Linked DNA regions of Macaca fascicularis. The protein of the gene in region 1 interacts with the protein of each later gene in a biochemical or structural test. Links are inferred from orthologs where the notes say so. Each region holds a gene or a part of one and is shown on either strand. Other genes may lie near its edges. The genes, in order: SIN3A, MECP2, MXD1, KLF16, SMARCA2, ZBTB16 and SMARCA4.

The links.
Region 2: the proteins of SIN3A (region 1) and MECP2 form a complex in vitro, tested with the Homo sapiens proteins (2 studies listed by BioGRID). The link is inferred for Macaca fascicularis from reciprocal best matches to the Homo sapiens genes SIN3A and MECP2.
Region 3: the proteins of SIN3A (region 1) and MXD1 form a complex in vitro, tested with the Homo sapiens proteins (4 studies listed by BioGRID, with this or other methods). The link is inferred for Macaca fascicularis from reciprocal best matches to the Homo sapiens genes SIN3A and MXD1.
Region 4: the proteins of SIN3A (region 1) and KLF16 form a complex in vitro, tested with the Homo sapiens proteins (2 studies listed by BioGRID). The link is inferred for Macaca fascicularis from reciprocal best matches to the Homo sapiens genes SIN3A and KLF16.
Region 5: the proteins of SIN3A (region 1) and SMARCA2 form a complex in vitro, tested with the Homo sapiens proteins (2 studies listed by BioGRID). The link is inferred for Macaca fascicularis from reciprocal best matches to the Homo sapiens genes SIN3A and SMARCA2.
Region 6: the proteins of SIN3A (region 1) and ZBTB16 form a complex in vitro, tested with the Homo sapiens proteins (3 studies listed by BioGRID). The link is inferred for Macaca fascicularis from reciprocal best matches to the Homo sapiens genes SIN3A and ZBTB16.
Region 7: the proteins of SIN3A (region 1) and SMARCA4 form a complex in vitro, tested with the Homo sapiens proteins (2 studies listed by BioGRID). The link is inferred for Macaca fascicularis from reciprocal best matches to the Homo sapiens genes SIN3A and SMARCA4.

What each region holds. Positions count from the first base shown.
Region 1 is NC_088381.1:52,618,009-52,621,508, forward strand, and holds part of SIN3A (paired amphipathic helix protein Sin3a), read right to left. Parts: intron 1,964-3,500; coding exon 1,725-1,963; intron 495-1,724; coding exon 311-494; intron 1-310. UniProt on the Homo sapiens protein: Acts as a transcriptional repressor. Corepressor for REST. Interacts with MXI1 to repress MYC responsive genes and antagonize MYC oncogenic activities. Also interacts with MXD1-MAX heterodimers to repress transcription by tethering SIN3A to DNA.
Region 2 is NC_088395.1:160,165,549-160,169,591, forward strand, and holds the start of MECP2 (methyl-CpG-binding protein 2), read right to left. Parts: upstream 2,801-4,043; 5' UTR 2,768-2,800; coding exon 2,706-2,767; intron 1-2,705. UniProt on the Homo sapiens protein: Chromosomal protein that binds to methylated DNA. It can bind specifically to a single methyl-CpG pair. It is not influenced by sequences flanking the methyl-CpGs.
Region 3 is NC_088387.1:52,028,699-52,032,781, forward strand, and holds the start of MXD1 (max dimerization protein 1), read right to left. Parts: upstream 2,801-4,083; 5' UTR 2,564-2,800; coding exon 2,491-2,563; intron 1,771-2,490; coding exon 1,671-1,770; intron 1-1,670. UniProt on the Homo sapiens protein: Component of a transcriptional repressor complex together with MAX. In complex with MAX binds to the core DNA sequence 5'-CAC[GA]TG-3'. Antagonizes MYC transcriptional activity by competing with MYC for MAX binding.
Region 4 is NC_088393.1:2,485,594-2,489,634, forward strand, and holds the start of KLF16 (Krueppel-like factor 16), read right to left. Parts: upstream 2,801-4,041; 5' UTR 2,717-2,800; coding exon 2,260-2,716; intron 1-2,259. UniProt on the Homo sapiens protein: Transcription factor that binds GC and GT boxes and displaces Sp1 and Sp3 from these sequences. Modulates dopaminergic transmission in the brain.
Region 5 is NC_088389.1:97,177,729-97,181,668, forward strand, and holds the start of SMARCA2 (probable global transcription activator SNF2L2), read right to left. Parts: upstream 2,801-3,940; 5' UTR 2,661-2,800; intron 1-2,660. UniProt on the Homo sapiens protein: ATPase involved in transcriptional activation and repression of select genes by chromatin remodeling (alteration of DNA-nucleosome topology).
Region 6 is NC_088388.1:113,178,040-113,181,539, reverse strand, and holds part of ZBTB16 (zinc finger and BTB domain-containing protein 16), read right to left. Parts: intron 3,327-3,500; coding exon 3,159-3,326; intron 522-3,158; coding exon 292-521; 3' UTR 1-291. UniProt on the Homo sapiens protein: Acts as a transcriptional repressor. Transcriptional repression may be mediated through recruitment of histone deacetylases to target promoters. May play a role in myeloid maturation and in the development and/or maintenance of other differentiated tissues.
Region 7 is NC_088393.1:11,528,665-11,532,829, reverse strand, and holds the start of SMARCA4 (transcription activator BRG1), read right to left. Parts: upstream 2,801-4,165; 5' UTR 2,625-2,800; intron 1-2,624. UniProt on the Homo sapiens protein: ATPase involved in transcriptional activation and repression of select genes by chromatin remodeling (alteration of DNA-nucleosome topology).

The DNA.
Region 1 (3,500 bases):
ATGGGACTATATGATACAAGGTATTGTTTGAGGGAAACAGGCAGTGGGAGAAGTGGAAAATGGAGGCAGGAGGTATAAGTTGAAACCAGGATAGTAAACTAGGGAACTAGTCAAATAGCTTAGGTATAAAGGTAAAGTTTAGATTTAAAATAGTAGAATGAGGAATAGAAAAGGCTATGACAGCTATAAAGCAGGAATCAACAGGTCTTAGAGAGTCTCACCTGCATTTAACAAAGGTAATTTCCAGAAATCAAAGCTGTGCTAAACATAGACTAGAGTCCACTCACAGATGTAGAAAACCCCAGCTCACCTCATCATAGATACTCTCAATCTCATTGAGTAAGCTCTTAGACCTCAGGACCTTTGTGTCATTCTGTTTAAAGTTGATCCCCTGGTGGTCCAGAGACTTCAAGTAGTATTTCTCATTTTGTTCTCGCCATACTTTGTTAAAGCCTCGCTGAGCTTCTCGCCATTCTTCCTCTTTCATCTTCAACCTAGTGAAGTGGGAAGGGATGGAAACAACATATGGGAATTCAGAGGGTTTAGAAGAAAGAAATTTGCCAGGTTTACTTTCTTTCAAGAAAAGTCAAAGCTATATTAGGTCTGTCAAAATTATTGGCAACTTGGGATGTTATCAAACCAGTCTTGAACTCTGTTTCATGAGGAAATTACTTATCTAAGACTTATTTTGGGGAAATGAGTTATCTCAAAGTCAAATAATTTACCTAGAATGGTTACTTATCAAACAGCATTCCAGGGAATACCTTTGAGATGTAAGTATTCCTTGCAAAAAGAGTTCTTGTTTCTCTGCTGTAGGACTTTGTAAAATGTTCACAATGCTAATAGAAACACAGAAGTCCAAGAGCAGAGAACTTGCACAGTTATGTTCCTCTGGATACAGTCTGGAAAGTTCTGATCAGAACTGATTCTAATAAACCAGAAGAGAACAGGCTAAGACAAAAAAACAGCACTAAAACTGAAGAATAACCTATATTTCAAAAGCCAGAAGTTAAATACTACAGGCAAGAAGAAGAAACCATCAATCTGTGCCAGCTCTTGAGGGGAAGATGAGGGAGGACAAATAAAATCTGGGTATTTGTGAACTGTGCAGCAACTAAGAATTAGTTTTTACCAGATGATACTGAGAGAACCAAGCTCCTAACAAAGGATTTACAGTGTGGTCAATAATGACATGGGGCTGGGCATGGTGTGGCTGGTGCCTGTAATGCTAGCACTTTGAGGAGGCCAAGGCAGGAGGACTGCTTGAGCCCAGGAGTTAGAGGCCAGCCTGGGAAACATAGCAAGACCTTATCTCTATTAAAAAAAAATAAAATAAAAATTAGCTGGGTGTGGTGGTGTACTCCTGTAGTCCCAGCTATTCAGGAGGCTGAGGTGGGAGGATCACCTGAGCCTGGGAAGTTGCGGCTGCAGTAAGCTGTGTTCTTACTACTGCACTCCAGCCTGGGTGAAAGAGAGAGATCTTGTCTCAAACAAACAAACAAACAAAAAAACCACAAAGATGTTAACAACAGTTAGTCCTGAGCGTGGCAGGAACATGGGTGGTAATTATCTTCTTTTCTGTATTTTAAAATACTCCCCCAGGGTTGGGGAGAAAGAGAGGTCTCATGGGACAACCAGGTTGAAAATGAGAGACTTATTTAATGGGACACTGAACCAGTAATGAAGTACACACTAAAGCACTAAGGGCACATTTGCTCAGGTACCTTTTAAGGACAATCGGAACAGCAATGGAGGGATTCTTTCTCAGACCATCAATGATGTCAGCTGCTTTATCAGCATATATCCTCTGGAGTGCTTTTCTATGGATGACTTCTGATGTGCCCCCAAGGGTGTTGTCCAAGCGAAATTTGGCTTGTTCCTCAGCAGACAAGCGGGAAAGCTTCTTCTGTATTGCTTCCAGAACCCGGATTGTTGCCAGATTGGTCTCTAAAACTACATCAAGCTGAAGAGGAAGACAAAGAAGGGTATGCTCAGGACCCAAATCAGAATAGAATAGAGTAGTGATTAGAAAAATAAGGTAGGGAGTCAAACTCCTTGGATTTGAATCCTGGTTCTGCCCTACTAGCTACATAAGACTGTTTCTTTATCAGCAAAATAGGGATAACAGCACCTATTACTCTCACAAGCCTATTTCTGGATTAAATTATACAATCCACATAAAGTATTCAGCGCAATACCTGGCACATAAGAACCACAGGATGAAGCTGGATAAACGGTAGTTATCACCACCACCACCTGCACCATGTGCTTTGCTTAAGACTACTGATCTTAGACCGGAGGAACCTAACAAGAGATGACTTTACTGATACTTTTCCCTGAACTTTCCTGAATTGCTAAGATCCGTTATGAACAAACAATAACAATCAAAACAATACCAAAAGACGGCTCTGTCTTGAGAGTTTTTTTTTTAACTTGAAATATTTAAATATATTCAAATACTAAAATACTCAATAGCCTTGTTCCACATCCAGTAATAATAAGAGCAGTGACTATCATACCCTAAGGAGTTCACTGTTGTATCTGCGGGTAATGATTTAAATTCTTATTGGACTCCTAAATGAACAGTCTACAACCAAATGTTTGCAGAAGTGTTCCCTAAATTTTCTTGTTTTGGAAATGTGGTCATCATTTTGTCAATACTTCTGGCCCCTCTTGCTCTCCAATTACCGACAAAAAATGGACTAACTTCCTGACTCCCTTATGATTGGATAGGGTCATGTAACTAGTTCTGACAAATGAGTTGTTATGAGTTGAGAAGAAGTAATGTTTATCACTTCTAGGCTGGAGCATTTAAAGGTGTGAGATCCTTCTGAGATCTCTTTTCCTCCTAGTGACTAGCAACAATCATAATGGTGGCAATCCCTTGGCCTGAATCCCCAAGTGATTCTGATATGCCAAATCCCCTGCTAAACATCAATGTACATGTAGAATGATTAGAAATTAAACCCATTGGCTTTACAAGTCACTCAGATGTGGGAGCTGTCTGTACTGAAGCATTACTAACCTATCTTAATTGGTAAACATGTTCCTTCAAACTCGCTCATCCCACCAAATCTTAAACACATGCTTACCCCACTTCTTTCATCTTTGCCCTTGTAGTCATAAATGGGAAATGAAGTTGCCTCTCATTTGGAAGCATACCAGTTGAGAGGGGATAGGAACATTCTGTCAAAAACAGATGCCAAGCTCTGCTAACTCATCAGCTAACCTTACTAAACATAAGTAACAAAGAAATGCTTGCTTTTTTTTTTTTGAGACAGATCTCGCTCTGTAGCCCAGGCTGGAGTGCAGTGGCGCAATCTTGGCTCACTGCAAGCTCCGCCTCCCGGGTTCACGCCATTCTCCTGCCTCAGCCTCCTGAGTAGCTGGGACTATAGGCACCCGCCACCGCGCCCGGCTAATTTTTTGTATTTTTAGTAGAGACGGGGTTTCACTGTGGTCTCAATCTCCTGACCTCGTGATCCGCCCGCCTCGGCCTC
Region 2 (4,043 bases), on another chromosome or scaffold:
CTTCTCATTTCATCTCCACATGGGAGGAATGTTCCAGAGGGGGTAACAGCCTATTAAACTCATCTAGCCAGTTTTTTTGTTTATTTTTTTTTCAAACTCCACAGCTTGCCTCCCTACTCCACTAGATGAGATTGCACAGAGGCAGGGCAGGCACGGGAAATGACTCTGGTTGGAAATTACAAACATATACACACAGAATGTAAGCACCATAACCCTTTGAATACACAGTGGTTTGTGCCTTGCCCCAGACCTACCTAAGTATTAAACAGCACAAAAGTCGGAGTTCTGCTGACTGTATGACACTCTCCTATCAATCGGGTAAAACAAAGACCCAGTACTCTAAGCTTAAAGCATTCCAGGTTAAATTTTAGTAACAGGCAATAGGAAGGTGTGATAGGCCAGTGCTAACAAGAAAGTCATAGATGGTTTCTTTGAGCTGTTAGGACACTGGAAAGGGCTGGTATGGAAGCCCTATGGAGCCATTAGGACAATGGAAAGGGGGGTACCCCTCCACCCGGCACTTTGAAGAGAAAACTATACTATGGAAGCTGCCTGCACTGTTGAAAGGGCTAGGTGTATGATAAACAGCTAACTGGAGGGGAACCCGAGGAGACAAACTGCCAACTATGAAGAACAAAGCAGAGACCTCAACTTGTCATGTCTCAAGCTCAGATGTACAAACTTTGGGATCGTCAAGTGAGGCTCCTGTGTCTGCCTGGGGATATGACTGTATTCCAGTGATCAGCCACCTAGCTGACCTGCCACGAATGGGTGACCTGTGGTGACTTATTTTAATCAATTGTACTACTTCTAGATTGATTGGGTGATTTAAGGTTCTGACATATTCACGTAAGAAAATAAAAGCAAGTGCTTCCTACACTTCCTGACTGGGATTTAAAATAGAAATCCTGAAAAGCCCATAAATAAGCCTATTTCCCTAAATCCTTGGTGGAAATTCCCAAAAGATTAAAAAATCCAGACCCTATCTTATTATAGGGACCCAGCAGATTTCAAAAGACTCAAGAGGTCAGCTTAATCTGGTTATTAACTGAAATTGCTGAGATACAGATGAACATTCCAGCCACGGAACCCAAAATTCTCTAGAGTAATAATTACCTATTAGTGCAACGTTACTACCGAGGCCGTATATGCTTTTTACAGTATAACAAAATGCCTAAAACTTATGAGAGTCCTACAACGTCTAAGTCACTCAGTATCACATCCAAGTAGGTATGGTTCCTGGATCACCAACCAACCCATGAATTCGATCCTGTTATCTCAGTTTGGGGTACTGATCCCGCACAGCAGAGACACAACGTGTGCAAGGCTCGGCAGAGCCCATTCCTGTTCCTGGAAAAATAACCAGAAGCACACATCTGTCTGACCATGAGTCAGGAATATCAATTTTGTGGTGGAGCCCATTTCTGCTGTGACCAACCCACACCCGAACACACTCACAACAGAAGTCACCGCCACAGAGCAATTCCAGAATGAGCTTTTTCCCCCTTGGGGTCCATACTTAGCAATGTCATAAACGGTCTCCCCTGCGAGAGCAATCCTTTTAAACTCTTCATAATGACCTTAAGTCTTTAGTGCAAAACCACAGAAACATTGCCACTGCCATATAAAAGTCATCTGAGTTTCAGTTTGGGTGATTCGGTCATAACCAAACTGAACAGAGAATAACCTTTCAGGCACAATGAACAGGAGCCACAGCGTCGCGATGAACTTGCTCCATCTGGTACCGGTGATCCCGAGCGCTCCAGGGCGATGAGAGCCCGTTACCTACTATGTCCCACTCCACTTATGTAACTGGAAGATCGCCGGCGAAGGGGAGGGTAAGATGGGAGGGTGCTCACATTCCGAGGCCACAGCACTCCAAAGAACCTCTGAGCACCCTGGGGACACGCTCGCACCTTAGAGCCTCAGGCGCCGAAGAGCCTCGGGTGCTGCTGGACGCACAGTCCCCTACTCACGGCTCCTGATGGGAACTATAACCACCTCTTTATGATGAGTTGTGGGACCCAGAACACAATGTCTAGTCCTTTTGTGGACAATAATCCCCACCTCCTTGTTCCTGCTAGATGGGGAAAGGAGCCGGTGGACCTACTCGCTCGCGTGGGGGTGGGGGGGCAGAAATTCATGGAATGGGCGAGAAGGAGGGGGAGGCAAAGCCCAGAGATGGGGGTGAGAGCTCAGGAGCCCTTGTGGCGCACTCTCCCGACGGGAGGCGAAGTGCGCACGCGCGCCGGTGGGGGGGGCCAAGTAACGGGAGAGGGGGCGCGCGAGGGAGGAGAGGGGAGAGCGCGATCCAGGGAGAGGCCGGGGCCGCGGGCGCGCGACGGCGCCGCGGCCCAAAGCCCCGAGCAGGGCAGGAGCGCGCGCAGCCCCGACAGGCGAAGCCCCGGCGACAGGGGCGCCCGCGGGGCCGGGGGCCGGGATGCGCGCCGAGGGCGGAAGGAAGAGGGGCGTCAGGCGAAGGCGGCTCCAGGGAGGCCGCGCCGAGGACGGTCACCCGCGAGCACGGGTGACGGGCCGAAGGGAGAGTCGCCACCGGCGGCGGCGGGAGGGGGAGGGTAGAGAGGAGGGACGCCATCCGCCAGCCGTGTCGTCCGACCCCGCGGGCCCCTCCCGCGCCACGTCCCGCCCCTGACCCCCGCCCCCCGGCAAGGGTCCCCGCCCGCGGCCACGGCGGTCCCACTCACAGTCTCTCCTCCTCGCCTCCTCCTCCTCCTCCGCTCGGCGCGGCGGCGGCGGCGGCGGCCATTTTCCGGACGGCTTTTACCACAGCCCTCTCTCCGAGAGGAGGGAGCGCGCGCGCCGCCGACGCCGGGACCCCGCACGGTCGACGTCGCGCCCCGCCCTCCCGGCCGGCCCGCGCGCTGCTGCACCTGCGCGCCCGCGCCCCGCCCCCGGCGCCGCTGCGAGCCCGCCCGCCATTGGCTGTGATGGCCGGGCTGGGGCGGGGGGGCGGTCACAGCGGCGATGCCGTCAATTGGCGAGATTTCTTGTCCATTTCGGCCAGGGAAAAGGAGGCGGTCCCCTCCAGCTGTTGATTGGCTGCTTTCGGCCGACGTTTGGGGAAAAGAGGCGGCTTGGGCGCGGAGGGGCTGGTTTAGTGGGCGGAATTTGAATGTTAAGGATTAATGGACCCTTGCGGATGCTGGGGCAAGTGAAGGCCCAGGCTCGGGACGCCTGTTTGCGCGGCCCTGAGGGGCGATTGACCCTCTGTCCACAGATGCACCGAGTGCGCTGCAATAAGCGTTTCACTGCACCCGCAGTTTCTCAATATCACCATTTTCAGCAGAAGCAGCAAAGTTACCCGCCCTGGAGCCTGACGTTGCCCCAGCTGAGGGGCCTTGGTTTCAGAGGCCTACTCAATGCATTATTTCATCTGAGCCTGCCCGGTGGTCACGTTCTCGTAGGGGTGGGGAATAAACTGACAACAAATCCCAACCCTGGCCTTCGCAGAACTCTGGCGGGGGAAGAGAGTGCATGCCAAGGCCTCGTGACACCTGTCATTGTTGGATCAGATGGTTTGGTGGAGGTGTGAATAAGGGGCAATGTTAGCTCTGCCTGAAAGATGTGATTTGGGAGCTGAGATCCAGCAATTGTTCACTTTCCTAGAAAAATGGATTTGGAGCTGAGATCCAGCAATTGTGTTTTGGGAAAATATGAGAAAAGTGTTAGCTAACCAGGTGTTCAGGACAGGAGTGTTTGTTAAGGGGACCTTACCCTGATGCCAGTCATTATCCAATCCATTCAGTGATCCTTCTGTTAGTTCTATGCTTAGCAAGAAAACCTGATTCTGATTTGGCTGCCTGCCCCCATTCATTTATTGACTACCTGCTATGTGCCAGGCACTCTTCCAGGCTCTGGATGCATGGTACTGAACAGACAGCATACTAAGATTCTTGCCGGGAAGATTCATACTAGCATACACATAAGTATAATGTATCATTTCACATAGTGACAGGGGCTTTGAGAAAGATAGAGTAAGAGTAAAGGGGGTGCTATTTAGGTATCTATGGGTTTTCATCCTC
Region 3 (4,083 bases), on another chromosome or scaffold:
CCTGTCTCTAACCATGGAAAGCAAACCAACCCATTAACAGAAGAATTTGTAGCCCTTTTTTTTTTTTTTTTTTTGGCATAGTACTGATTCTTTCTACTAGAAAGAATCCATTTCTTGGCTTAAGATTCTTAACTACTATTATTTTTCTTTCCTAATCACCTTTTGGGACCAAACCACTTCAACATCTCATTTTTTTATCCCCACTAGTGAACATCCCCTACAACCTTCCTGTGAAACTAAGGAAAAAAATAAGGTGTTAAGGTATTAAGCCTAAATAAGTAACATGGACAATTCCTCTCAAATCATTAGTGGACAATAATAAAAGCCAAAATGGACTATGTTTTTCCAGAAAAATTAACTGAAAGGCCTCAAAATTCTTTTAAACAAATTAAAAAAAATACTGTATTAAAATGCAACACAGCTGAATTGTTTTTATACCATTGCATATTACAAGTCAGTATTAACAACCTTCTTAAAGTGCCTTCATATCCATGCACAAAACTACAGGCTACCACCTTCAGGTAATGCTAAGATTAGAGGACAAGCAAAACCCACCAAGTAATTACCAGGTTGATTCTTCATGTGCCATTTTTATTCAAGGGCATGGCACAAGTAATGCTGCTCACATCCTGTGGTTCCACCAACGATACTAATGAGGTGAACCAAGTACAGAAGACGCAGCAAGAACAAGTGATTTTTAGGTTTAAGTGGGAAATTCCTGGTCTGTATTAAGCCACAGAGAATATCAAATAGATACTTGCAAGGAGTTATTCATGAGGGTGAGGGAGGGATGAGGATTCTAAACCAGTGATGAAAAAATCAATGCTTTTAATTTACTGGCAGGAAAGGTATAGTTGAAGGGATCTAATAAAACGAATTTCCTAGCCAACTACATTTTAAGGGCAAAGAAGGGAGAAAAAGGGCAGTAACATTGATGGACTATTTACATGTACCAGAAACTATGCACAGGACTTTAATATGTGATTTAACTGACCATTAACCAAATCTCCAGTGAGATTCACAGCTTTTAAGAACTATGGTATAAGACAATCTATAAGACTAACATGGAAAGGTTGTAGCATATTAATATTTCGGTATTATATATTCCTCTATCACTAAAGAGGTAGGTTTTAACCTCAATCATTCCTCTTTGCCATTACAAATAGAGGTGACAAATTAGAGTATCAAACAAACCACTGTATTTAATTTACATGTCAAGTATGAGATCCTACCACTTATGCCAAATCAGGTACTTTAATGTGTTTATAAAATCATTACAACGAAAAGTAAAAGAAATGGATAATGTCCAGCATTTTGACTTATAGAAAACTTGCCCTGATCTGCAACTTCTGAAGGGAAAATATTGTCACCATTGCTAATCTCACTTGAAGCTTTCACAGATTTTTTTGTTCCAAAAGGGAAGAAAAGCGAAATTAAATTTTGAATAAAGTTCATAAAAAATGTAAAACATTTCTATTTTTCTTTTCAGTTCCCTCAACCCAAACAGAAACAGCTTCCTACAAGGTCTTAAGTCCATGTGTACATTACTGAATCATGACGGCCACAATGTAATTTTATAGGGTTATAATCACAACAGGCAACTTACATTCAGCAGTTTGTGTCACCTACAATATAATCTAAAAGACAGAAAGAAGTATTTACCAAATTACCTGCTACTGCTGTTATTCTTTTTGGATTTGTTCCTCCGTTTTAAGGCATCTCTGTCCTTGTTATTGTATGGTAACATGGAGGCATAACCATGTTCAGCTTCTAGAAAACAGGAGGATCCAGTTAATGAATGGGCCCAGAATATTTAATACTCTCTCCTCTCTACAGTATTTCCTTTTTCCTTTATTTATCTTTAAAAGAATATTGTGGAAATAATTAAATGGAGTAAGGTGGAATTCTGAGAACAATGATTAAAAAAAAAAAAAAAAAAAAACAACATTGTGTGAATACCCTCAGTTCGGAGCAGGTGTAAAGAGGATTCCAGCTGCTCATTGTTGAGAAAGACACAGTAGTGGCTAAGCTCACGCAGCCTGGGTTTCCCACTGGCAACGTCCAGCAGGTTGGTGCGGGTTAAGTGGAACCAGCCTCAGGCGAAGGTGCGGGGCAAGCACCGTGAGGCGCTGCTCCTCTGCCCAGGAGACTGGGGCGCTGGACCCACCTGGGGGCCGGCCGGGACCAGCCCGGGTGAGGTAAACCAGGGAGGCTATCGGAGGGGGCCCCGGCCACCCATTCGGGAGGGACTGCGGAAGGGGCGGCGTTCGGGACCCCGGCGGGCGAAAGCCCCTTCTCCATCTGATTCATTGCTCTAGGGCAGCGGCGGCCTCCCTTCGGACCGCGCGTGGGGAGAGCCGGAGGGGTTGGGAGCGCTCGCGGTCTCCCCGCCTCCAACCACCCCCGGAGCGGCTGGGCGCCCGGACCTGAGGCCGGCCCTACAGGACCCCCGGCCTCGGTTCGAGTGGACCCCTTCCCGTCCCCGTGCACCTCTCTCTCGCCGCTCCAGATAGTCGGCCGCCTCCAGCAGCATCTGGATGTTCATCCGAACCGCCGCCGCCATTCTGCACCGGGGGCCGGAGCCACGGGACCAACCCCCACTGCCCACGGGCTCGCTGCCGCCGCCGGACCGCTATGGAGCCCGCTGTGGACACCGCGGAGCAGGGCTGAGGGAGCCTCTCTGGCAACCACGCTCGACAAGAGAGGGAGGGGGGCCAGTGAGCTGGGCACCGCCGACACCGTGACAGAACCCGGAGCAGAGCAGCAGCCGCCACCGCCGCGGAGTGTTTATCCCCGACTCACCATCTCCCCGCCCCCAGCCCCTTCTCTTGACAGGCCAGCTTCGGCCGCGTTCCTCATTGGGCCCCCCAAAGAATGCCCCGCCCCCAAACTTGTGCGATTGGGAGAGGGCTTCACGGCTCCACCCCCCAAAGTCCGCTCCTCTCGCTGGTTGGTCACGCTTGACAAGGCCCGGGCTCCACCCCCTCTTTCCAATTGGTGACAGGATTCGCAACTCCGCCTCGTGCTCCTTCCTTGTTTCCCATTGGTTCTATACCAACAACCCGGGCCCCCTTTTGCTTTGTTAGTATTGGCCAAGAGCTGTAGCAGGCAAGCACCTCGCCGGTCTCCCATTGGTGAAGCCTTCGGAAACCTCCCAGCTACGATGATGTCACCTTTCTCCAGTTCAGGCGAGCCCTAAGTGGCTGATGGTCAGCGGCCTGCCTGCTCCTCACCAGGTGTGGCATTGGCTGGGAGGGCCGGTCCGGCGCTGGGCGGCGCTGATTCACCGGCAGCCGCGGAGCTCGGCTCCACCCGGTCTCGCCTCGGACCTGTTGCCAAGACCTGTCCCCGGGGAAAACTTCCGGGGACCTGCCAGGCGTCCCTCGAATGGAAGGCTGGCACCTCGCGTCGCCTGGGCGCTCTGCGCCGCTTGGGTTCGGGGCCGGAGCCCTGGGTCTGGTGGCCGCGGCCCTGGAGGTTCTGGGCTTCGCGGAACTCCGGCTGGCGAGGGCCCAGCCGCGAATCATCCCGGAGAGCGGTGTAGGATAGTGGCCGGTGAGCCGGGAGCTCGGGCAGGCGCCACGTGGCTGCTGCGGGGCTTGAGAAGAAAAGCCTGGCGGTTGTTAAATGCTTGCCGCCTGGCGTTTTTTCTGCCCTCAAGAAAGAGCTGGAATCGGGCTCCAATATACAGCATTGAGCTCATGCGCCTTTTCCGCACCCCCTCCATCCCCGGGAAATGATGGAATAATTAATTCCTTTCACGCGAGTGGGTTTTTAAAGCTGAGACTTTGTGAACCTACAGAATGGCATTAAACTCTAAGATTCTTTGACTTAAATCTCTTTTAGGGTTTTCCCCTCCCTTTTAATTCTAGATGAAGGCACTCACAAGATTATTGGGGGTTTTTTGTTTTTTTTGTTTTGAAAGGGAGTTTTGCTCTTGTCGGCCAGGCTGGAGTGCAATGGCGCAATCTCGGCTCACGGCAACCTCCTTCTCCCGCCCGGTTCAAGCGATTCTCCTGCCTCAATCTCCTGAGTAGCTGGGATTACTGGTGCCCACCACCACGCCCAGCTTATTTTTGTATT
Region 4 (4,041 bases), on another chromosome or scaffold:
ATAAAACCAGAGCCCCTTCCACGAAAAGAAGCTGTTTGCACAGACCCTTTGGTGGCCCTGGGGGCTGGGGAGGCCTGGAAGAGGAGCCTGGAAAACCACAAGTATCCAAAACCCTTTGGAAACCTAATCCAAGGTGCCTGGGCCTGGGACTGCCTTCTCAGTCCCCAAATCGTTACTGTGAAGGGGGCTTTGGAATGGGATGTCAGCAGGCTCCCAAGGGGTGGGGGAGGGTGCCAGGAGATCCACCCTGCCCTCCCCCACCGCACAGGGTAGACGGTGGCGAATCATCAGCACATCTGCACCCCCAGGCCTCAGTTTATCACCGCAATCCCAGGATAACAATCCTGCCTTCCCAGGACTCCGAACCCATCCTTCCCCTCCCTGCTGGCTTAGGGACCGCCGCCCCCACTACCCAGGGGCCTGTGGAAGCGCCTCCTGGGTGCCACTGTGGGAGGTGGCCATCCCATCCACTTCACCCAGAAACTCAGAAAACCCAAATGAAGCTCTCAGGCCACGCCATCTGGCATAGGAAGAATGACCTGGGTAGACAAGTGGGAGTCGCTTTCTCAACAGGCTCCCACTTCAGTCCCTTGTCTGTTCAGATCGGCAAACTCACCCCGGACAAGCCAGGGCATTCCTGGACCCCTGCCCACCGCCCAGAGAGGCACCTCCCTTTCTGTTCCCAACGCTGCCTCGCCATCTTCACAGTCCCCCAGTGTCCCTCCCCGCGGAGATACACGAACCCTATTGCCCTCAAAAAGAGGTAACACCTTGGGACCCCTCCGCCGAGGGGTCCTCGCAGAAAACGCAGACCCCACCCAAGTCCTATCTTGACGCCCTTGGTTCCCGTCTGTGTCTCAAGGTGGGCAGAGCCTCCAGGCCCCTGGGACCAGGACAGGGACTGAGCAAGGGGTGGAAAGCGTGGAGAAAAGACAGGGGGGCAGCCTGCGGGCTACAAACCACCGCCCCCACCCGCCCTCCTGCTCTCCAGCCTCAGGCGTCCCAGCGCGGCTCCCCACGCCCCAAGGATGAACCCTCAATTCTTCCACAAGGCATTCGCGGCCCCTGCTCACCTCAGCCTCACCACTCTGGACAACCTGCTTCCCTTCGGCCGCTCCACGTGTCCCTACAATCCCAGCCCACGGACCAAGCCCCCTTGGAGTATCCCGCTGCCCAAAACGGCCCCCGCTACGGCTATGAAATAAGAGACAGCATCGCACTCTTGATAGAGATGAGAAAATTGAGACCCAGATCGGGTAGAGGTCCTCTGTTTGGTGGCAAGGCCAGAATGCCAAGCCCAAGTGCGGCCCGACAGGCTTCCCCCAGCCCCCCACCCTCCCCAGTAAGGGACAAGCACCTCTAATGCCCAAAACCAGGCCGGCCATCAAGGCCCACCGTCCCCTGTTCCCCAGTCCAAACTCCCAGTCCAGAAGGTGGAATCCAAGGAGGAGTCAGAGTGAAAAAATACGGCCAGGCCCACTCGGCTCCCGGTTCCCCTCGCCGCCCCAGGGACTGCGCTAGGAGGGGCGTTGGTGTATCCGGAGCGCTCCCCGCTCCAACCCTGCGCACCTTCCCGAATCGCCTGCCAGATAGGGGTGAACAAACACGCCGGGGAAATACACGTAGTGTGGACCTTCCTATAATGTCCCCCCGCCCGAGACTCAGGCCCCAACCGGCGCTCCCAGCTGCGCCCTCCCCCTCGTTAAAATACAGAGAACGCAGAGAAAACGTGCCGGGCTCCCCCCCATCCTGGCCCCACGCCAGGTGCTCTGCCGACCTCTAGGGAGAATCCGCGCGGCCACCCCGGAGGCGGCGACGCGGTTCCTCCTCCATTTTCATAGATAAGGAAACTGAGGCTGGGGGAGGGGGAGGACCCAGAACCCCAGAGCCGGATGCCCCAACCACAATGCCCACCGCCCAGACCATAACGCAAAAGAAAAAAAACAAAAAACGGAACAAGGCCCAGAGAGAGAGAGGTGGCCTGCCCAGGAGTCTCACTCCCGCCCGCGGACCTCGCTGGGTCCCCGGAGCCCCAGCCACTGCAGCCGGGGCGGCCATCCGCTCGCCGCCCGACCGCGTGGCCGCCACGCCCCCCGCGCGCGCCCCACCCACCGAGGCCCCGCCCTGCCGGCCGGCGCGGCGGCGGCCCGGGCGCGCCCCCCTCCCCGCCCCCCACGCGCCACGCAGTTTCGGGGTCCTGGCGGGGGAGGGGGCTCAGGCGTTCGCCCCCGCGCGGCCCGGGATCGCAGCTCCGCTCACCTGTGTGCGTCCGCAGGTGCGACTTTAGGTGCGAGGACTTGTAGTAGGCTTTGGCGCAGTCCGGGAAGGGACAGCGGTGGCTCTTGGCGGCGGCGGAGGGCGCGGCGCCGGGGGCGCGGCCCGAGGACGGGGACGAGGCGGCTGAGGAGGAGGAGGCGGGCGAGGCGCCCCCCGGGGCGGCTCCGGGCCCGCCGCGCAGGTCGGCCAGGATGCTGGCGGCCAGCAGGTGGGGCGCCGCGGCGGCGCCAGGGCCCGGGCCAGGGGCGGCGGGAGGCGGCGGGGGCGGCCCCGGGGTCCCGGGCGAGGCGGCCTCGCGGCGCGCCGCGCGCACATCCAGGCCAGCGGCGGGGCCCGCGCCCTCGGGGCCGGGCCGCCCGCGGTGCACCACGGCGCCCGAGGAGATGGCCATGAGCACGTCGGCGGCGAAGTAATCCACACACGCCACGGCCGCCGACATGCCGGGCAAGGGCGCGCGGCGCGGCGGGCGGAGCGGAGGCGGCGGGAGCGGCGCCCGTCCGGCCGGCGGCGGCTGCTCAAGTGCGGGAGGCGGAGGCGGAGGAGGAGGAGGAGGCCCGGCGCGCGCCGCCGCCGCCGCCCGCGCTCGGCCTGCCCCGCCCCGCCTGACGCGCCCTGACGCACCGGAGCCCGCGGGGGCGGCCACAGCCCGCCCCGCCCGGAGGACGCCCCCTCGGGGCGCCGCAGCCACGCCCCCCGCCCGGCGCGCCCTCCACCACTCCGAGCGCGGTCGCCGGGGGCGGGGCTCGGGCCGGAGGAACCCGCCCCCCGGCGCGCCCACTCAGGCCTCCGGGAGCGCCCAGCGTCTTAGGCCCGGAGCGCGCACTCCCCGCACTGGGGTGCAAGGCCGGGGAGCCCCGCCCCCTCCCGGCGCGCCCCACTCCAGCGCGCGCCCCCGGTGCCCTCTCCCGGAGCACCACCCCCCAAGCCGGGGCGGGAGGCCGAGGACCCCGCCCCGTCTCCAGCACGCCCCTCCCTCCCAGAGCGCGCCCCGCCCCATCCCGGCACGCCCCTCCCTCCCAGAGTACGCCCCGCCTCCTCGCTGGCGCGCCCAACCCACGCCGGGGCGCGCGGCCGGCGGGAGCCCGCCCCCTCCCCGGATGCCTCCCCCCTGGCCTCGGGCGCGCCCCCGTTCGCGATGGAGGAGGGCTCGATTCCCACGTGGCCGGGGTTGGGGGGGGTGCGGAAGCGGCCGGCCCCGCCCCTAGGCCACGTGCGCGACCCTTCCCCCCTCTTATCCTGGCCTGGGGCCCTGCTTTGACCCCGCACCCAGGCATCTGCTCGTCCTCTTCTCTAGGGTTCCCCGTCGCAGCTCACAGAGCCCCTAGGAGCCTCCCGGCCGAGGCACCCGGTATCCCGCGCCCGCGGCGGGGCCCGGGAGGGTGGGGCAAGCCTGCGTTCGTTCCTCTTTTTGCACCCAGTTCCGGAGCTACTGGAGCGCGCCCCACTGGGGGTGGGGAGAGCCGGTTGGGTCCCAGAGGGTCGGGATAGGGGGACAGGAAGAGGTGGCCGAATGCAAAGAAAGGGCTAAGCTGGGGACGCCTGAGCGGATCAGAGGTTCCCCGCCCTGCTGGGACACCGGGATCCGAGGCTTCTCTTTCCAGTCCCAGGCATCGATCCTTGGGGTTTGGACGGGAAAAGTGAGGCCAGGTATTGGGGCCTCCCGGACGCAAGGACGTCCAGACCAAGTTGTTAAATATTGGCGGGGACGACGGGGACGCCAGGGACGCGGATGGCCCAGTTCGCAGGCCCAAGGCGGCGGGGGCA
Region 5 (3,940 bases), on another chromosome or scaffold:
AGAAAATCAAATTTTTAATTAAAATAGAATCAGAAAAAGTCATAGTTTAGAAGGATGCAAATAACAGGAAAAGAGGGAAAAAAGCAGATTGTCAATGACTCTTAAAGAGAGAAATGTGTGCTATGGCAAGTGGTATTTATTGGTAAAGACCAAAGTAATTTACAATTTTTTTAAAAAAAGATGTTCATATTTTGCTTATTAGTGCTGTGAAGAATCAGTACTACAAGTGGCATGATTAAACAAGGGATGCCTTTTTTTACCTGCTTCACAAAATTATTATAAGAATTAAATGTGGTAACATATATGAAAGCAATTTGCCGATTACAAAGTTCTCCATAAATGTATAGTATTGCCAGAGCAGCCATTCCTTAGAGACTATCAACTTTGGGTCACTAATTTCTATGTGGCTTCATGGGCTTTAATTCAATGAGTTTCAGGAAATAATAGGCCTTGATCAGCGCTGCAGAATTTGCCCCCACAAGAATACCAAATATACCGCCTGCAGAGTATTTTATTTGCTTTAAAGGCCAAAGATCTTTTTCTTATTTTAAAAAATGCATAAGATTTTCTGTTTCTGAAACAATAAGTGGTACTGACATCTCTCAAGACTGAAAGCACTATTGTCTCATTTTAAGAACCACCTTCTTATTAGGAGAGGATGTTGTTGGCAGGAATGAATAATTAGGTAACTCTTTGTGGGCACATTTTCTTCAAGTCCCAAGGGGAACGTACAATTGTAACATCTCCTTGGATTATTTCACAAACATATGGCAAATGAAGCACCTGAGCCAGATGTACAAGCATATTATAGTATGTCTGTTTTAACTTAAAACTGTGAAATACATCAGATGGTGAAGTTATTTTGGTTGTGAACATCCATCATGGAAACAGCATGGAAGCATCTTTTCTTTATTGTCCATTTTACTTGGACTGGAAATAATCAAGAACAAAACAGTTTGGAAATCATCATTTGCAGTACAAGATTCCAGGTAAAGTTCAAGACCTAATGAAGTACATGGTCTGGATTTAGCTGGGCCTCAGACATCCCCACATAGTTTGTTAATGCCTGTCACCAATATTCACTGCTGGCAGGCTTGGAGTCTCAGATTACCTATGATTATTTTCAGTTCTTTTTTACCCCATCATCTTGTGTTTTTACTCCCCTAGACATGCATGTGGGTTATTTTGTAGGTATTTTTTAAATAATGAGAATATATTTTCTACTGATTCAGTAGCGAGTTTTTGCTGTTTTTTTTTAACCGTATTTTATTATTACAACATTGGTTGCTTATTTTACTAAAGAATCATCATCTGGTATTGGCTTCTTGGAATCATAGTGATCTAAGCAGAAATATCCATCCCATTTGCTTTTGAAATATATTTCAAAATGAATGGTATACTTTTTAATCTGAATTACTCATGTTTCAGAATTAGAAGCTATAGGTGCCACAGAACCCTCAAGTGTACAGTAAGAAAATAAAGAATACACAGGCACGGGCAACTATATTCTCCCTTCAATGCATATGCGCAAATTCCATTAGCATTAATGAGTTCTCTGCACATGTACTTAAGAGAATGTGGACCAAGTCACAATGTAATCTATTTCTTTATCCAAGTTAAAAAAGTGATGGGGCGGCGGGGCTTGCGTTGTATTCCTGAGCTTTTCTTGAGAATTAGAATGATACAGGGCTGAGAGCATGCAAACAGTATGGTGGCAGCGACACCAGGGAAAAGGCACTTACTTTTTACAGCCAGTATGGCATACAGCAGAGATTTGGGGGTTGAATTACTATGGTTGGCAAATGTTGAAGCTGACAATAGAGGTCCACAGAGTCCTGGATATTCTGGCTTTGTGTTGCATCAAAATAAGGAAACAAAATATTTATGAACTTAATTCTGCCTCTCATTTTTTCCCCCCTTGAAATGGCAATTCTCTGCATGATGATGTGTATAGATGTGCAGTTCAGATGTGTTCCTAGCCAACACAGCATTTCATAATGCGGTGCACCTGTGTTTTCTTGGTCACCCTGTTGTCACCAGGGTGTGTTAAAGCACCCTCTCCAAAATAATTGAGTAGGAGGCAGGGCAGGAAGTGTCAGGGAAGGGGGCAGGATCTCTCCTCCGCCTTTATTTCTAACGTCTTCTCATTTGGAAAGATTGGAATGTAGATTTAATTTCAGGTGACAATGTCAGGTTTATCCCAGTTCAGAGATGTTGATAAATCCTGGTATGGGACTGCGGTGACCCTGTGTGCCCTCATACTCTACCTATCTCACAGGGATGTAGCTGTGTTTATAAAACTCACATCTAATATTGCAGAAGTGCTAAGGTCAGGGCATCTGAGCCACACGGTATCAGGCATACAACCACACAAAACTGTGCATCACGCAGAGGCCCCCTTTGTAAAGCTGCTAACCCAAGAACCTCTCTCCCGGATCAGTGGAGCCTCCAGTGTATGAATGACCCTTAACCTTAGCAAGCCCAGCACTCTGATGAGTCTGAGAAATGCACTTTTAGCATTGGGAGAAGCCACAAAAAGCTAAACAAAATGACTAGCAATGAAGGCAGACAACAAAACAAAGATACTGAATTTGTGCCCTTACCTTCATTTCCCCCCTGAAGATTTAAATTTCTGATGGTAAAAGCAATAATATTCTGACCTTAAAGGGCTGAGGTTCTGTGGCCACCGGTTGTTTAAAGGATCATTCCTCAGCGGCATTGTATCACCGGCCCTAGCAGCGGCGGCGGTGGCGACAACCACCACAAAAACTGGAGTTCAGTCATATTGGCATCAGATTCTGGAAAGGGGAGGGCAGGGAGAAAGGGAGTCTATTGGCCTAAAAAGCTGAAACATCTGCTGGAGTTATTAACAGCTTTTTGGCTGAGTTCAGCAGCAGGGCACCTTGTGGTTGATAGATTCTTCTCTCAGCAATTCAAAACAATGCAGTTAAAGCAAATTCCTCATTTTCAGAGCCCAGCTTAATGAGGCATACAGTATTTTAAAAATAGTCACACTTAAAATGGTCAATAGCAGTGACTGCAATCAGTGGTTACCTTCAGTACTCTATTGCGTTGTTAACTTTGCCAGGGTGATTGCATAACACGGATTTTTCAAAAGACCATGTAGCTCACTGTTAACTCACTTTGTAGGAATTTACATTATTTATGAAGTTTATGCAGATCATCCTAGGGTGTAAATACTGGCAAACTTGATCAAAACCACTTAGAGGCCTCCTGGCTATCCTTTCCCAAAAGTGTGCATTAAGCCACTTTAGGCTCAGAAGTCCAATTCCAGGAAAGGTTCCAAGGGGCCAAATTTTGGAGATAAAATGAAAGGCAACATGTGAACAGCCTGAGCTGGAAAAAACACTGAGTTGGAAGTCAGGGTCGAAGGTTCTAGCTCTAGTCCTAATACTAACTGGCTGTGTGAGTCCTTGCGGGAGTCACTCAATCTTTCTGCTTCAATTTCTTTCTGTATAAATTTATGGGGCCAATTAAAGGGTATGTCTCCAAATGTTTCTGTCCAGCTCTGCCATCTTAGGAACTATGGAGCTCAAATCCAATTTTAAAGTATTCCCCTTATGATAGCCATGAATTGCAACCACACTGAAGACTGTTCACCAATATGTGACAGTATGTGTGGTATTTGGGTAGGGGCATCAGACGAACAAACTGCAAAGTTAAATAGCTCTGTCAGTCACTTCAAGTGAATGCACCATATGCTGCAACAGACGTGGGCAAAGTACAACCAGCCCCAACTGGATTTGCTAGCCTGTTAGTTTATCTGGCCAGATGACAGTGTCCAGCCCCAAAAAGGGTCATGCGCAGCTTTGCATCCTACTGATCCAGCATGCTAACTTTGGCAGAAGGAAGGGAGTGGCAAGGGAGAGAGAAGGCAGACCAGTGGTGAGTCAACATCTGTGACAGAGCTGAAGTCAGC
Region 6 (3,500 bases), on another chromosome or scaffold:
AGGAGAAAAATGTGCCACCATTTGAGTGAACAAAATACCCCACCCCATCCCAGAAAATCAGGCAAACCTCCAGCCGGGAGAGGAGGGTGGAGGCCCCCAGAGGAGGGGCAGTGGCTTGGCATCCAGGTCATCTGGAGCCCAGAGAGAATCCAAGGCCAAAAAGCTATCAGGTTTCCGTTTCCTTCTCTTTTTTTTTTTCTTTTCCTTTTTTATTTTTCATAGTCCTTCCTTCATCTCGATCCAACTCTTCTTTCTGGCTCCCCGCTCGGCTCCACCGCCGCGGGCCTCCCTTCACACGTAGCACAGGTAGAGGTACGTCTTCTCTATCCTCCAGTCGGGCGGGATCTCCTCGGGCTTGTGGCCCTTCATGTGCTTCTGCATGGAGGAGAGGCTGGGGCAGTACTCTGTGCAGATGGTGCACTGGTAGGGCGAGGCGCCGTTGTGCGTTCTCAGGTGCTTGATCATGGCCGAGTAGTCCCGGGAGCGCTGGTGGCACAGCTTACACTCAAAGGGCTTCTCACCTGAGGGCAGAGGGACAGGGCAGGAGAAAGTGAGGACAGACAGAGGGCGGTGAGGGCACCATGTCACCCTCAGGTGTGCCAGGGAAGCTGGGTTCCTCCTGCTGGGCTTGTTCCAACAGAACTTTCTGGGACAATGAAGGCACCACCCAAGACGGCAGCCACCAGTCACACATGGCTATGAACCAGGCTGGTGCGACTGGAGCTCTACAGTTTTCTGATTTTATTTCATTGTAACTAATTTAAATAGCTACATGTAGCTAGTTGACTACTGGATTGCCCAGTTCCTTGTCTTACTATTCTTAACTCTCCTAAGGCCACAGTCTTTTCCCTTTCTAATTAAGAAAATGAGTGTCTAGAAAGAGAAAGGCCCCACGGTCCTCAGGAATGGCTCTTCGAGCCGCAGTTCCATCCAGGGAGCAGGTGGATTGAGACCTTTCAGGGCTACAGATGGTGGGGAGCAGGGGTGGTGGAAAACTGAGGGAACCCAGTCCTTCAAATATGCCGCACCTGGGAACCTCTATCCAGCTAAAGCCTTTTTTTTTTTTGAGATGGTGTCTCACTGTGTTGCCCAGGCTGGAATGCAGTGGTACGATCTCAGCTCACTGCAACCTCTGCCTCCTGGGTTCAAGTGATTCTCCTGCCTCAGCCTCCCAAGTAGCTGGGATCACAGGTGCTGCCACCATGCCTGGCTAATTTTTGTATTTTTAGTAGAGACAGGGTTTCACCATGTTGGCTAGGCTGGGCTTGAACTCCTGACTTCAAGTGATCTGCCTGCCTCGGCCTCCCAAAGTCCTGGGATTATAGGCATGAGCCACCGCACCCGGCCTATCCTGCTAAAACTGCTAAGACTTTGCCCTGGACCCTGCCTCCCTCCTGAGGCTAGAATTGGGGGTGGGGTGGGATGGGAAGGATAAAGAACCTGGGAGTACACAGCCACACCCTAGCCTTCTATACCCCAACTTTCCTTCCATAGAGTCCCCTAGAGCTGAGCAGAGGATGTGAGGGAACCTTGTTTCAATACAGTAATTAACTGGCCAGCCATCTCGCTATCAATACTCCTCCGTGCACAGGCCCCAGCAAATAATGAAGTAATGAACAGCCAAAGTGATCTAACCATCGACCAGCTATTTACAATAGTCACTGCCAATACAGTTAATGATCCACCTGCCAGGTCACATCCCCGACAAGGGGCTAAGGAAACCCCAGGGCTCTGGGAAATCCTCTGGGTCACTATAGGTGTCAGCAATGGACACCCAACCCTGTCCTTGGGGGCTCAAACTGGGGCACGAAAACTGAGCTCTGACAACACGTAGCTCTGCTTACTGCTCCTTCTGTCCACCCTTCTCCTCCAAAGGCAATGTACTCTCCTCTAAGCCAGCAGGACCTGCCTGAAGCCACCTCTCCCCCTTCCTCTGGACAGGACAGCTGTCCCCCCGATCAGAGGGGTTTCTTTGTTTTCCATGTGCCACCACCTCTTACCCTTCTGTAAATCAGCCTTCCCCACAACCAGCAATGTGCTGGTGGTAAATGTTTAACAACTGGCTTTCTAAAAAGCCCTGGTTTGTAGCATCTGCTGATTGCTATGATGTGAATACTCCTACCAGGGCCAATTTTAAGCAACTAAGGTGATGTCGCTGAACTTGAAGTTGTGAAGAAATGTGAAAAATTAGCTTTCACAAGCAAGCTCCAATACTCCACTGCCCCCAACCTCGGACACTGTGGAAGACCCTTCACTTCTTTTGTCTTCTGACCTCAGGAAAAGCAGTGGCCCACATTTCTTTTTCCAATACAAACAATAATGTGGCCGGGCACGGTGGCTCATGCCTGTAATCCCAGCACTTTGGAGGCCGAGACGGGTGAATCACTTGAGGTCAGGAGTTTGAGACCAGACTGACCAACATGGCAAACCCGTCTCTGCTAAAAAAAAAATACAAAATTAGCCGGGCATGGTGGCACACGCCTGTAATCCCAGGTAATCGGGAGGCTGAGGCAGGAGAATTGCTTGAACCCAGGAGGCAGAGATTGCAGTGAGCTGAGATCATGCCACTGCACTCCAGCCTGGGCAACAAGAGCGAAACTCTGTCTAAAAAAAAAAAAATGTGAAGGCACTCTGAAATGGTAAAACATCATATGCATATAGGGATTATTAAATATATCTGCTCTTCTAATCTCAGAACCAAACACAATCTAACTTTACAATTTCCCAACTTCCATAATAACCTGATTCAATGCATCCTAATTCTTACTGTAACCCTTGAGTAACATGAAATTACCCCTAACCTTCGCTTCCAGCTAACTGGACCAACTTACCCCTAATTTAGGACTCATATACAGACATCATTTTGCATGTCACCTCTGAACTATTGGTATAGCTGCCTGGAGAGCTGGTGGGGGCTCATTGGAAAGTGTGCTGGGATTGATTAGTAATGTCTGCCTTGGCCTTGACTGGTGGCCCTCAGGCCACCTTGACTGGGGTGTGGTGGCCCTCAGGTCATCATACCAGCCCTTAATAGAACCTCTTCTACTCTTTGATTCAGCCTGGGATCATCCTCACTTAGGCTTCTCCAGGAGACCATCTGCTTCCCACCTCCACCCAGGTCCCAGAGCCAGCTCAGACCCCTCCCTGGCCTTCAGTACCTGTGTGCACCCTATAGTGCGTCTCCAGCTGATGCTTGAGGCTGAACTTCTTGCCACAGCCATTGCACTCATAGGGTTTCTCACCCGTGTGGATGCGTTTGTGGCTCTTGAGTGTGCTCTCATCCCGGAAGCAGCTGCCACAGAACTCACACTCGTAGGGGTGGTCGCCTGTGGAGACAAGCAGCTGGATCAGGCATTTGCCTCTCCCTGCCCCCTCCTCAGGGGCCAGTAGGGCACATTCAGTGCATGAGAAGGATGAGACGGCCTGTATTCACCACCTCCAAAGACAACTTAGGGATCCACGGCCACACCTCCATTGAATAAACAAGCAATACCTGTGTT
Region 7 (4,165 bases), on another chromosome or scaffold:
AAAAAAAAATCGAGTGTTCACTATGCATCAGGTGCTGCAGTGTGTTAGCGGCTTCCCATGTGACCTCATTCAACCCTCACAAGAAGCCTGTGAAGTTTCAGGCATCCTCGTCCTACCTGTTTCACAAGTGGGGGCCCTACTGCTAAGCGCCTCGTTTGAGGTTAAGCTAGGATTTCAAGAGCTGGGTGTGAATTCAGGAGGTCTGATTCCAGAATGGGTACTCCTTACCACCGCCCCACGCTAACCACCACCCCACACTTTGTAGGGGAGAGGAAGACAACTGAGGTTCGGGAAACAATGGCTTGGAAAGTTCCAAAACTGTTAAAATAACTAACCTGTATCCCTTACAACCCATGCCCAGTTCTGCACCAAGCTTTTTTTTCTCCTTTTTCTTTTTTTTTTTTTTTTTTTTTTTGAGACATTCTTACTCTAGTACCCAGGCTGGAATGCAGGGGCGCAAGAATGGTTCACTGCAGCCTCCACGTCTCTGGTTCAAGCAATCCTCCCACCTCAGCCTCCTGAGTAGCTAGGACCACTGGCACATGCCACCACACCCAGCTAATTTTTATATATTTTGTAGAGATGAGGTCTCACTATGTTGCCCAAGTTAGTCTCAAATTCCTGGGCTCGAGCAATTCCCCCACCTCAGCCTTCCAAATTGCTGGGATGTCAGGTGTGAGCCACTGCACCCCACCCTGCACCAAGCCTTTTACACAGATGGTCACGTGATCTTCCACAGGACCCCACCCCCCTCATTCAATCCACAGAATTTCTCTAAAGACCTACTATGTGTCAGGCCCAGAGTACTCTGGGGTCAGCCAGGCAGACACAACCCCAGCTCTCACGGTGCTGGGGGTGACAGCTACACCGGAAAGGACCAAGGTGATGCGTGAGTATAGCTGAGGGGAACAATGGCTAGTCCCAGGTGGCCAGGGAAAGTCAAAATACACTTCTGGCGCGGTGGCTCACACATGTAGTCCTAGCACTTTGGGAGGCCGAGGTGGGTGGATCACCTGAGGTCAGGAGTTTGAGACCAGCCTGGCCAACATGGTAAAACACCATATTTACTAAAAATACAAAAATTAGCCAGGCGTGGTGGCGGGCACCTGTAGTCCCAGCTACTCAGGAGGCTAAGGCAGGAGAATCGCTTGAACCCAGGAGGCAGAGGTTACAGTGAGCGGAGATCGGGACACTGAACTTCAGCCTGGGCGACAGGCAAGACTGTCTCAAAAACAAAATACAATCCTACATATATCCTCCCTGATTTTGAGGGCCCCTCTTTCAGGCAGCCCCCGTGATCTCTGGCTACCACCGATCCCCTGCCTGTCCGCTGTGTCCCTCTCACAGCGCAGGTCAAGAGCATTAAATGACAGGCCAAGAGTGTTTGTTCCCACGTTGACCACCCGATCCCCTCCAAGACTGCAGAGGTTCCAGGATCCAACCCCCCGACCATCCAACACTTAGTAGGACCTCAAGAAGTTATTTGCTGAACAATGAGGGAGACTGAACCAGACAGTAACAACAGTGCTTCCCACTTGCCAGGAACCATTTTACAGGCTTTTACCAACTGCATTTGGGAGATTACCCCCTTTCACAAAGGAGCTTTCACAAAGGAGGAAAACTAAGAGGTTCAGAGAGGTTAAGCACTTCCCTAAAGTGACAGTGTGCTAAGTGACTGACAGCACCAGGAATCAAGCTTAATGCACCCTATCAATCCAAACTGAAAACTTGTTTCAAATTCCTGCGAAGTGGCTTTTCCGCTTACTCCCTTTCTACTTTCCCCAAGGAGACATTGACCAAAAAAAAAAAAAAAAAAAAAAAATCAAGACTGGTGTCTTCAAGATCCGGACAAAACACTCGCCTAAAAGGTCCACGTTGAAAATAAAAGCCTTAATCTGAAAAACCAATTGGGAAGGAGGAAAAAGGATGCAAAAGAAAAGCAATGCTTTTACACAGCAAAGGATTTCCACCGTGCTCCCTTACTTGCCGCCGACCCCATCCCCAACCCCAATTCCGGGCAAACATTTTGAAGTCACTAACTGAAAGTCATTGGGGGAGTCCTTTACCTTTCCTTGAAAATCTGGAATGACGCGTTTTTAAGACAATTTGAAGTCGGCTAGCCCAAGGGGGCCGCTAATGCCCGTGTCCGGCCGACGCCGGACATATCTGGAGGTTTGGCTACTGAGCCCAGATCGTAGCTTCGCCAAAAAGGCAACATTCGGGTCGGACCCCTTAACACGCAGCCAGAAAAGCCCCAACGCCTGCCTATTGTTGGAGCCGCTGCAATTGGGAGGGCTACTGTAGGGGTGCCGGGCGAGGGGGGCGAGCTTTGTCCGGCGACCCCGGCGAGAGCGCGCGCAGAGAGGATCGCGCGGCCTCCACGCGGCCCGGGCCCCCCACCCACCCCGCCGCTCCGCGGGGACCGCCGCTGCCGCGGCCTCGCGACGCTGTGGCCTTCCCCACGAGCGCGGCTGCCGGCGGCGCTTCTTGACCCTCGGGCGCCGCCGTACCCCGGTCCCGCACAGGGCGCGCCGGCGGCCCCCTCCCCCCTCGGCGCCCCGGCTCCATTCAAACCGCCCTCCCTGGCCCCGCGCCGCGCTGCCCCCGCGGCCCGCGTTCCTTACCGGGAGCCGCCGGCGCCGTCGCCTTCCCGGCGCCGCCCCCGCCCCTCCGCGCGGGGCCGGGGGCAGAGTGGGCGTCTCGCTTCTCCTCACGAAACAAAGAAGCCGCCGCAGCCGCCAAGCGAGGGGAAGCCTCGCGCGCGCGCCCGACTGCCTCGGCCACCGCCCCCCCTTCACACACACGCGCGCCGCCCGCGCCCCCGCTACGCGCGCGCTCGCCGGCTCCCCTCCCCCTCAGCACCGCGGCGGCCTCTCCAGCTTCCGCCGCCTGCCCAGCCTTGTGCGCGCGCCAGCCCGCCCTTCCTCTCCCCCCGCGCGTGCGCGCCCGCTCCAGAGCTGACAGAGGTGGGCGTGGTCCGGAGGAAGCACGCGCGTCCCGTGCACCGCCCCACTCGGGCTGCGAGGCCTCGCGCCTGCGCACGGGCAGCTTCGCCCTCCGCACGCCGCGCGTCCTGACGCACGGGAGCATGCGCAGAGCGGGCGCCACTGCGGCGGCGACGGCGACGGCGGTGGCGGCGGGGCAATTGGGGGATGGGATCCCGGTGGCTGTGGGATCCATGGGGAAAGGAGGTTCCTGAGGCTCGGAAATAGGAACCCTGGACCGTAGGACCGGCCGCCTGGGCCAAGACCGGGCAGTGGTTTTCCGCGGACCAAGGGCGCGCTTGGGAACCGCTTTGATCCCTGATCTGGGGCGGCAAGGCCTGTTTGGGGAGCTAGGCGGGGCCCGACCGTGGCCGCCTTCTCTGCAAAACCTCCCGAGTGCCGTTAATTAGCTTAGCAAATATTTATTGATCTGCTACTGTATCTCAGCCACCGTGGATCCCACGGTCTAGTGGGGGAGGAGGACAAGAAGCAAGATTAATAAGCAAAAGAGCGCAGTGTGAGAGGCTGAACTTGGTGGCTCACGCCTGTAATCCAGCACTTTGGGAGACCGAGGCGGGCGGATCACCTGAGGTCAGGAGTTAGAGACCAGCCTGACCAACACGGTGAACCCCGTCTCTACTAAAAATACAAAAATTAGCCGGGCGCGGTAGGCCACGCCTGTAATCCCAGCACTTAGGGAGGCCTAGGCTGGTGGATCATGAGGTCAGGAGATCGAGACCATCCTGGCTAACATGGTGAAACCCGGTCTCTAGTAAAAATACAAAAAATTAGCCGGGCATGTTGGCAGGCGCCTGTAGTCCTAAACTACTCAGGAGGCTGAGGCAGGAGAATGACGTGAACCCGGGAGGCGGAGCTAGCAGTGAGCCGAGATTATAACATCGCATTCTAGCCTGGGCAACAGAGCAAGACTCCGTCTCAAAAAACAAAAAAAGAGGCCAGGCACGGTGACTCACACCTGTAATCCCAACACTTTGGGAGGCCAAGGCAGGCAAATCACAAGGTCAGGAGTTCAAGACCAGCCTGACAAATATGGTGAAACCCTGTCTCTACTAAAAATACAAAAATTAGCTGGCATGGTGGCAGGCGCCTATAATCCTGGCTACTCAGAAGGCTGAAGCAGGAGAATTGCTTAAACCCCAGAGGGCGAGGTTGCAGTGAGC